Linked DNA regions of Ovis aries. The protein of the gene in region 1 interacts with the protein of each later gene in a biochemical or structural test. Links are inferred from orthologs where the notes say so. Each region holds a gene or a part of one and is shown in the gene's direction. Other genes may lie near its edges.

Region 1 (4,309 bases):
ATTTATAGGAATCTCACTTTTGATACGAGACAAACTGATTCAGCTTCTAAGTTTGTTAGCTAAGTTCAACGGCAACTCCTTGTTTATATTTCTACTGACTTTCCAAACCTATTTTACAAAAAGTCTGCCTGCTTTCTCAAAATCACTTTTTTTTCCTAACACTGTAAACCAAGGTAACTTTGACATATCCATATTTTATGTGAGGACTCACAGAACTATGATTACATTTTCCTTTTAGATTTATTTCCACTCAGTTAATTTCATTAAGGCAGCCTTCATTTTTTAATAATTTTTTTAAAGAGTATTGATAATGGCTTAACAATCTGTTTAGTACACCCAAGATTTGTACTGGGAGCTTTCAGAAATATTAAAATCAAATAGTTTTACCAGCTTTCATTTGTTAAAGGATAGATGTCTTGAGTTTAACATGTTTTTTGTTTAAAAATAAACAAATACGATGGTAACGATTATACAATAAATGCTAATTTGTTTAAAGTGGAGATGTTTATTCTATAATTCAGGGCAGTGTGTATTATTTATCATCTCCATATTACCAAACTTCGTTTTAAGCCAGCTGTCTAGTGTTTAACCTACTGAGCAAAGGGAGTTACTCTAGTTTCCAATATTGAATATAAATTTTTAAAAGATTCCTGAGATTTCGGATTAAGTTAGATGTATTTTTCTGAGTGACATCTCTAAATGGGTACATTCATTTTGGATAAAAAGTAAACAAGGCCTTTGGTGTTTGAGAAGAAGAAAAACACGAGGAGGGGAAAAGGAAATATTTTTCAATTCATAAAACATCAGGGAAATGTGTGGAGGACCCATAGAGAAACGAACCCAAACTGCAATATTACAAATACATGTATCCTTTTGAGAAATACCACCGGGCAGTAGAAACCTTTTCTAAGTGCCTTTGCTTTTTAGGAACGTCCATCAGCAAGGTCTCTTCCACAATCCTGGCAGAGGCCTGTTCATCCATTTCCACTGTTGAAGTTGGGACAGTGTCTGAGAAACCGCAGGCACCTGCGGCTCTGAGCGAACTGGCGAGGAACACAGGGAAGGGCGTCCCTTCTCTCATTTTCCGTCTCCAGCTTCCAGAATTTTCTGACAGGAGCTCGAAAATCTTTTTTCTCGTGTCTCAGAAAAAAGCTACTTCGGGGACGGGTCTGCAATGACGCTCCGCAAAGGTGTGCGTCTCAGAAGAGGGGATGACAGCTCGCTGGCGGAGACGAGCCACCTCCTCTCTTCAAGCCTCTGTAGAGGACGACTATCCGAGGAACCAGTTCGGACGCCAAACGCTGCGACGGTCCCACAACCCCGCGTCACACCGCAGAGCGCCCGTAGCCCGCGCCTCAGCCGGAAGTGGGCGTGGCCTCGGGCCGGCTAGGCGAAGCCAGGCGCGGCGTGGGGAGGTGGGGTTCCTCCCGGGCCCGGCCCGCAGCCGCGCGTTTCCGGCGCGCTCCCCCGCGTCTCGCGTCCTGTGGTCTCGCCCGTACCCCGCTGCCATGTTGGATTGTGAGGCCGTTGCCGCCGCCGCCGCCGCCGCCGCCACTGCCGCCGAAGGAAGGTTGGGGGAGGAGTTGGGAGTTTAGCGCAGTCGCCGGAGTGCGAGGACAACGACCATCCGGCCAGAGCCTACCCCGGCGGGAACGGGGAGCTTCCCTTTCTCACAGCGGCCCGCCGTCGGCTCCTCCTTCCGTGGCCTCCTCCCTGCGCCGGAGGAGCTGCGAGATGCTACGCCTCTGATTCCCCTCCTCCCGCCCCTGTCACCCAGAAGGGGAACGAGCGCTCGCCCACTCGCCCGAGGAGACGGCCCTGGCCTCCCTACCCCGCCGGCGAAACCATGAGCTCCGGCCAGCAGCAGCCGCCGCCGCCGCGGAGGGTCACCAACGTGGGGTCCCTGCTGCTCACCCCTCAGGAGAACGAGTCCCTCTTCACCTTCCTCGGCAAGAAATGTGTGGTCAGTGTGTGAGACCCGCATCGCCGCCCCCGACCTTAGCCTCCCGGGCCCGGGAGGGAGCGCCGGGAGGTGGGAGTGGGGAAGGAGGCGGGAGCGGCGCGGGGAGAATCGGACTGCTGGCCAGGCCTTTCTCTGACCCGGCTCCCTGGGTGCGGGCAGTGCGGGCCGGAGGCCGCCTCTCGGACCTGCCCAGGGAGCAGGGAAGTGTCAGGTCCGCAGGCCTGTTCTGGAGCCCTGCTCGCTCGGACCCGGGTCCGTGCCTCTGCTGCTGGTTCAGACTTTACTGTCAGGCCTCGCGGGGATATTTTTATAGGAGCTGCCTGATCGTAGTAACTGGGCTCCTGGACTGGCTCTCGCTTCTCCTCCTACGACCCCGATGTGGGGGTACTTTCCTTCACAATGCCATTGGTTTCAGGAGTGGGTGTGGGTCGGGGACCGAAACTCAGATATGAATGAATCGGGCCGTAAGGTCGTCTTTTATTCTCCCTTGAGGATCTCAGGAAGGAATGAAGTCGAGTCCATCGGTTTAGAACGGGGGGCAGGTAATGCTGCTGCTCCCCACTGCAGAGAAACGAGGTTTATTTCTCCAGCAGTCTCTCTCAGGCCTGGTTTCTCTCCTCTCCACTGTTTTTGTTGTTGTTTGTTTGCATTGGTCGGAGATGCTGCTCTCCCAGAACCAAGCTCAGGGGAACCGCGATCTCCAGCAGTTCTTGCCTTTTGGGATCTGAGAATGGGTCTTACTTAGGTCGGTGCTGTGCGGCCTGTTCCAACTCCAGATGGCTGGTTGGAGCCAGCAGCTCTGCTGTGGGAAGGGGAATGTGTTGTTGACGGAAGCATTCATTACATTGGCTGCTGGCGCTTCTGGGGGTGGGGAGGTTGTGCTCTGTGGGGTAGGCCTTGTCAGCCTGCATCTTACTGGGGTGGCCGAGTTGAGCTGTGGTTGAGATTGTTGAAACGCTGTTCAGTTCCCTTTCTCCCCTCTTTACTGGTTAACACCTGCAGAGTCTGTGCCACTGGCACCCCGGAACCACCGAGGGAAATGTCAACAGAGCTGTACCTTTTACAGCTTTCCTTCTAATGTTAAATGTGTCACCCAGACTGCACCTGCTTGTTTAAGAAGTTAGGATTAGACAAGTTCTGGGAAGTTACTAGATTAATTGTTAACTTTCTAGGAGTTTACCCATTGTATCCTGTTCCACCTGGTAGGAGATTGAATCATTACGTTACGTGCAGATGTGTTTCGTATTTCAAAAGTTAGACCTGATCAGAATAAAAAAAGGTGCGTTAGAATCAGGATTTGGGAAAACAGCTTTGAAGACAGTCAAGCCCCCTCTTCACTCTCCCCACACAGTTTTTAAACAAACAAGATAACTGAGCCGGTGAGCCCTCTGTCTCACAGCAATTTAGTAATGTAACCGGAACTAGAAAAGCAGGACTCCTCATGCCTGTTGTGTTGTACTTTCCACTACATCATGTTGTTTTAGAAGTTTTTTTCTTACTTGTTATTTATTTAAAAGTAGTGTTAAAGAAATAATCACTTTTTTTTTTCATCAGAAGCTGATACAATTAAGGTGTAAGATTCTTAAAGCAGCCCTAATTTGTGCATATTTTCAATTTAGGAAAATCTCCAGCCATTTGAATGTGACATTATCTGCAAATGAAAAGTTTTTTAAAAAAATTTTCTGGTACACTACTTATGTTATATAATCTGTCTCAGAAAAGGAAGTAATTGTACTATGTGTTACATACCAGACACATTAGGCAGGGAGGGACATTACATTTATACACAAGCATACTGACTAATTGCTCTGCATTTCCTATAATGTTTACTGGTGTCAAAGAAATGACAGACATGTAAGAATACAGCGATAGATAAAGAATGGATTTCTGTCATTTAGAACCACACTGTTGGAGTTACCTGCTCTTGCTGTATGAAATGGTTGCAAAGATTAATATTTGAAGTCTCCAATTATTAGACAGTAAAGAATGAGATCTTAATTTCTGGAACAGTTCCCCCCCCCCCCCTTTGCTGACCATGCAGTATTTTGTACATTATTGAAATATTTTATCTCATTAAAAAAAAAATCATGCAATGAGATTTACAGGTCAGACCAAATTTGTTAAGCAAGAAGTGCATTCAGAGCTTTAAGAATTATCAAGAAAATGAAGCTGGAGTAGTTACAGTCGTAGCTCTCAAGGAGTTTCATTCCTTCTTTCACTCAGCAAAGTAGTATTGAGTAGCAAAGAGTCGGACACAACTGGGCAACTTCACTTCCTTTCTATAGTTCCTTTTGGAGAAGGAAATGGCAACCCACTCCAGTGTTCTTGCCTAGAGAGCCCTATGGA
Region 2 (4,388 bases), on another chromosome or scaffold:
GTGTGTCTCCCAGCCTTCTCGCCACCCCCCACCCCCTTATCTCTGGCCGCTCCCTCTCGGGAGATTTCCACCCTGGGGTAGGGGGTGCGGTAGGCCAGAGGTCAGGATGGCGGGCGGGGAGCGCCGCCACGTGCCCGCCTGCGGCCCCGCCCGAGTTGGCCAGTGACTCAGCCGCGGCGGCTGTCGAGGAACACTGGTTCGGGGGGCGTCGGGTGCTCCGTGGGTTCCGAGTGGCCGCGCCCGCTACGGAGGACAGGAGGGAAACGAAGCCCCTTCGCGCCCGGGAGCCGCCCCTCCCCCGAGGGACCGGAAGCGGCCTAGCCCCTCAGCGGCCCCGGCGGCCAGCGCGAGCTAGAGTCACCTAAGCCGGACTCCAGGTCCTGCCCCACCCGCTTCCCGGTGGATAGCCAGCGAACTCATCGCACACAAGTTCTTAGCTTAAGTTTTACTGAAAAAGAACAAGAAAAACCCAAAAGGGCAAAGTTGAAGGGACTTTCCTCCTCTTGAAAAAGTTGCAATCTTGAGAAACCGCTTAGTATTCTTCCGCCTTGGAAAATAGGCCCGCCCGTCTGGCCCCACGGTGCTCAATGACCTCTGCAGACACGGGCCAAGGGGCACAGCCGGTGACCCAAACTGCTGACCGGGGTTCGGGCAGGGCTGGGACGTGGAGTGAGGAATGAGGCTGGAGCCGATCCAGTGAGTCACAACCCCCTGGAGTCGAGGTGGGCTCCAGTGAGTACCGCTTGTGCCGCCCGGGCAGATGCTGGGGACAGAAGTGTCCCTGGTGGGTGCCTTCAATTCTGAAGACGGCCGGGGGTATTTGGTCTAATTTCCTTTTACTACCTTATTTCTTGAATAAATAAAATCAAGAGGGCAGAAGCGGCCAGGCACACGCCACGCCTCGCCTCCGCCCCTTCCGCCCGGCGGGAGACACGTCCCCGGCCTGCCTGCCCTCACCGAGGGTCCAAATCAGTCCCGCTTGGCGCGCCCGGGCGCGCGCCCGCGAAGCCCGCCGTCTGCCCTAACCGCCCCACGCGCTTTCCCTCTCGGCCCCGGCGCAGGCGCGGGCGCACGCGCCCCGCCGCCGCCCGCCGTTCCTGCCCCCGGCAGAGGTGGGGGAAGGGGGAGTCGTTCTGTTTAACCCTGAGTTACCCGAATCCTCTTTAATTTGCTAAATTTGCAGTTTGCTAATTCTTACTTCTTTCACTTTCCTTCTTCCCTGTGGCTCACTACCTTTCCTTCCACTAAAGTCTGATAGTTTAGGCGGAGTGGAGCGGGCCCTAACCTTAACCCATCCCCACCCACCCCGATTCTTTTTGCCTCGCTTTCCATCGAACTCTGCAAATTTTGCAATAGGGGGAGGGATTTTTTAAAATGCATTTGCAAAGTTCGGTATCTGGGCAGGAGAGGGGAGGGAGAGAGGGAGTGGGGAGCAAGCCCCGCCCCCACCGCCCTTTGCAAATAAAAATCTAGGGGGGTGGGGAGGAGCAGGAAGTGGCGGTGCGAGGGCTGCTGCACAGCTAGCAGAGCCGCGGTCCGGACGGCAGCGCGTGCCCCAAGCTCTCCGTCTTCCCCCGCCCGCCAGCCCGAGCCCAGCCCGCGGCCCCAGCAGCAGCCCCGAGAGCAGCCCCAATAGCAGCGCCATGGCCGGGTGGAACGCCTACATCGACAACCTCATGGCGGACGGGACCTGTCAGGACGCAGCCATCGTGGGCTATAAGGACTCGCCCTCCGTCTGGGCCGCCGTCCCCGGCAAGACCTTCGTCAACATCACGGTACTGAGAGGCCTGCACAGTCCTGGGGACTGGCCCGGCTTGGACCCTGAGGGAGGGACTCGGGTGGGGGCGGGCGCGGTCTGCGGAGGGCGGCGAAAGGCCGTGACCCGGTCCTTGCCCTGGAAGTGGCGCGAATGGCGGCTGCACGTGAGCGGGCCCCTCCATGGCCCCCTGAATCCTCCGCCCCGGGCGGCGGCGCCCAACCCGCCCGCCGCCCCGCTTTCCGCGACGGGGCGTTACATCCGGGGCACGGGGCGGGGAGGGTGCGCCGCCCGGTGCGGCGGCCCACTTCCGCCTCCTCCAGGGCGGGTCGGGCACGCGCCGTAGTTTCTACCCAGGATTTTGATTGAGCAGGGACTTGGGGACCCCGGGACCCCTAGCTCCACTTCCGGCCGCCAGCTCGCGCCCCTTCCACTATTGTTCCTCTGAACCGGGAGGGAGCCCCAGTCGCATGGCCTGGGTCCCTAGCCCGATCTCCGTGGGTTCCCTGCCCCTCCCAACTCCATTAGAGAGGGCTAGGGCGCCACACGACGACCCCCTCCCCGCCAGTCGGCCGGTCGGACTCAGCATTCTTGAGAGACCAGTCCCGGGAGTCCCCTCGCCTTCCCTTCCCGCCATCAGGCAGGGCCTGGAGCAGGGGAACTTTGTGAGAAGTTCTAGGACAGTATAAGTGAAGGAAGAAGGGATGACTGCTGCTGTCCCCATCACCAACTCCCCTGTCCACACTGCCCGGAAGTGGGGAGGGGGAGCGGAAGTTCGAAAGGGGGGGAAGGGGATTTCCGGGCGGGAGGGGACCGGATGTGGGGATTTGGGGTGTAAGGGGGAGGGGAAGATACGTTCCCCGGGGTATCTAGACCCGAGAGCTGGCTGTCGGGTCTAGCCCCAGGCCCCCTCCAAAAGTTCTTCGACTTTCGCTGAATGCCCCAAGGCATCTGCTTGCTCATCTTAGAGCATAGATACCTGAACCTAAACTCTAAGTTACTTAGAGACCCAGGCGTCCGGGCCCCTAACAACTCCTGCAGAACCTTTGACCAAATAAGGGCAAAGTTGCTTCTCCTGCTTTGCCCGCCCCCTCCCTTCCCCTCTTCGCTTCTGCTTTTCCTGAAGGAGAGTTCTGAGCATCCAAGGCTCTCCACTCCATTCTCTTAACTGGTTTTTGGCCCCATTTATTTACTGGGTTTGCTTTCCCTATTAAACGACATCTAAATCGACATCTGAGTCAGAGGACCATGTTGTCCCTTCCTAGTACCATTCTCTAGGTTTCAAGATCATATTTTTGTGCACTTCCAACAATCCTGAGTTTCTCAAATTTCACGAATGTGTACAAAGCACATAACATACACCTTTCACCCCAGGGGGCTTAGCTTCCTTGAGAAATGGAAGACAGGTGAGAACTTTGGTGTATTGACTAACTTGCTGGGTGCTTGGTTCCCTTTTCAGCCTGCTGAGGTCGGTATCCTGGTTGGCAAAGACCGGTCAAGTTTTTTCGTGAATGGGCTAACGCTTGGGGGCCAGAAATGTTCTGTGATCCGGGACTCACTGCTGCAGGATGGAGAATTTACCATGGATCTTCGTACCAAGAGCACCGGTGGAGCCCCAACTTTCAATATCACTGTCACCATGACTGCCAAGAGTGAGTTCTTACCCATTCTCTAGCTCCAAAATCCCTAACGTACCTCCTTTTGTTAATCTTTTGGGTTCTTCTGTGTGGTCACTTAGTATGAAAGGATCAAACCAGGTTTCTACTCCCAGCCTGCTGGATGCTGGGGCATCGAATTGTTCCTCTAGTTCTGTCTCAGTGCCTCACCATACGCCTCACCATACGGTGTAGAGAAGTTGAACTGTATTACCTCTTAAGTTGCTTCTTACCTTGAGCATTTTCAGAGGAGAAACTCCCTGTTTTCTTGGAGGAGGTAAAAGGTTCATTGTAAGTCAGCATTCTGCTCTTGTCTTTTGAGCTCTTTTGTGAAAACTTGGAGGTGGCCGGCTCATCCACAGCCATTTCTAGCCTGAACACATGAGTCAACAGTCCAGGAGCCTTTGACCCCTAAATTTTACTGTGCTCCTTTCCAGCCTTTAAGCTTGATTTTCCCCTTTTGAAAAGACCTATTGTTTCAGGGTGACTGACAGCCTGCCTGTGTGTGGGGGGTTGGGAGAGATGAGGTTGGGTTACAGCCCCCAGGGTTGGACAGCTGCTGAACAGCTGGCAGGGGGTGGGGTGGTGACACCTGGGTCCTAGCCTCCTTTCTCTTTCCTCCAGCGCTAGTCCTGCTGATGGGCAAAGAAGGTGTCCACGGCGGTATGATCAACAAGAAATGTTATGAAATGGCTTCTCACCTGCGGCGTTCCCAGTACTGACCTCGTCTGGCCCTCCCCTCACCACTCCCCACTGCTTTTGCACCCCTCTCCTTCCCACACACATACATACACCATTTTTATTTTTTGGGCCATTACCCCACACCCCTTATTGCTGCCAAAACCACATGGGCTGGGGGCCTGGGCTGGATGGACAGACATCCCCTGCCCCCAACCCGTACCCCTCCTGTGTGTGGTTGGAAAACTTTTTTGTTTTTTGGGTTTTTTTTCTGAATAAAAAAGATTCTACTAACAAGG

The links.
Region 2: the proteins of WASL (region 1) and PFN1 form a complex in vitro, tested with the Homo sapiens proteins (2 studies listed by BioGRID). The link is inferred for Ovis aries from reciprocal best matches to the Homo sapiens genes WASL and PFN1.

What each region holds. Positions count from the first base shown.
Region 1 is NC_056057.1:89,673,160-89,677,468, reverse strand, and holds the start of WASL (actin nucleation-promoting factor WASL), read left to right. Parts: upstream 1-1,478; 5' UTR 1,479-1,846; coding exon 1,847-1,963; exon of another isoform or gene 1,964-4,309. UniProt on the Homo sapiens protein: Regulates actin polymerization by stimulating the actin-nucleating activity of the Arp2/3 complex. Involved in various processes, such as mitosis and cytokinesis, via its role in the regulation of actin polymerization.
Region 2 is NC_056064.1:26,323,652-26,328,039, forward strand, and holds PFN1 (profilin-1), read left to right. Parts: upstream 1-1,489; 5' UTR 1,490-1,643; coding exon 1,644-1,775; intron 1,776-3,215; coding exon 3,216-3,408; intron 3,409-4,035; coding exon 4,036-4,133; 3' UTR 4,134-4,386; downstream 4,387-4,388. UniProt on the Homo sapiens protein: Binds to actin and affects the structure of the cytoskeleton. At high concentrations, profilin prevents the polymerization of actin, whereas it enhances it at low concentrations. By binding to PIP2, it inhibits the formation of IP3 and DG.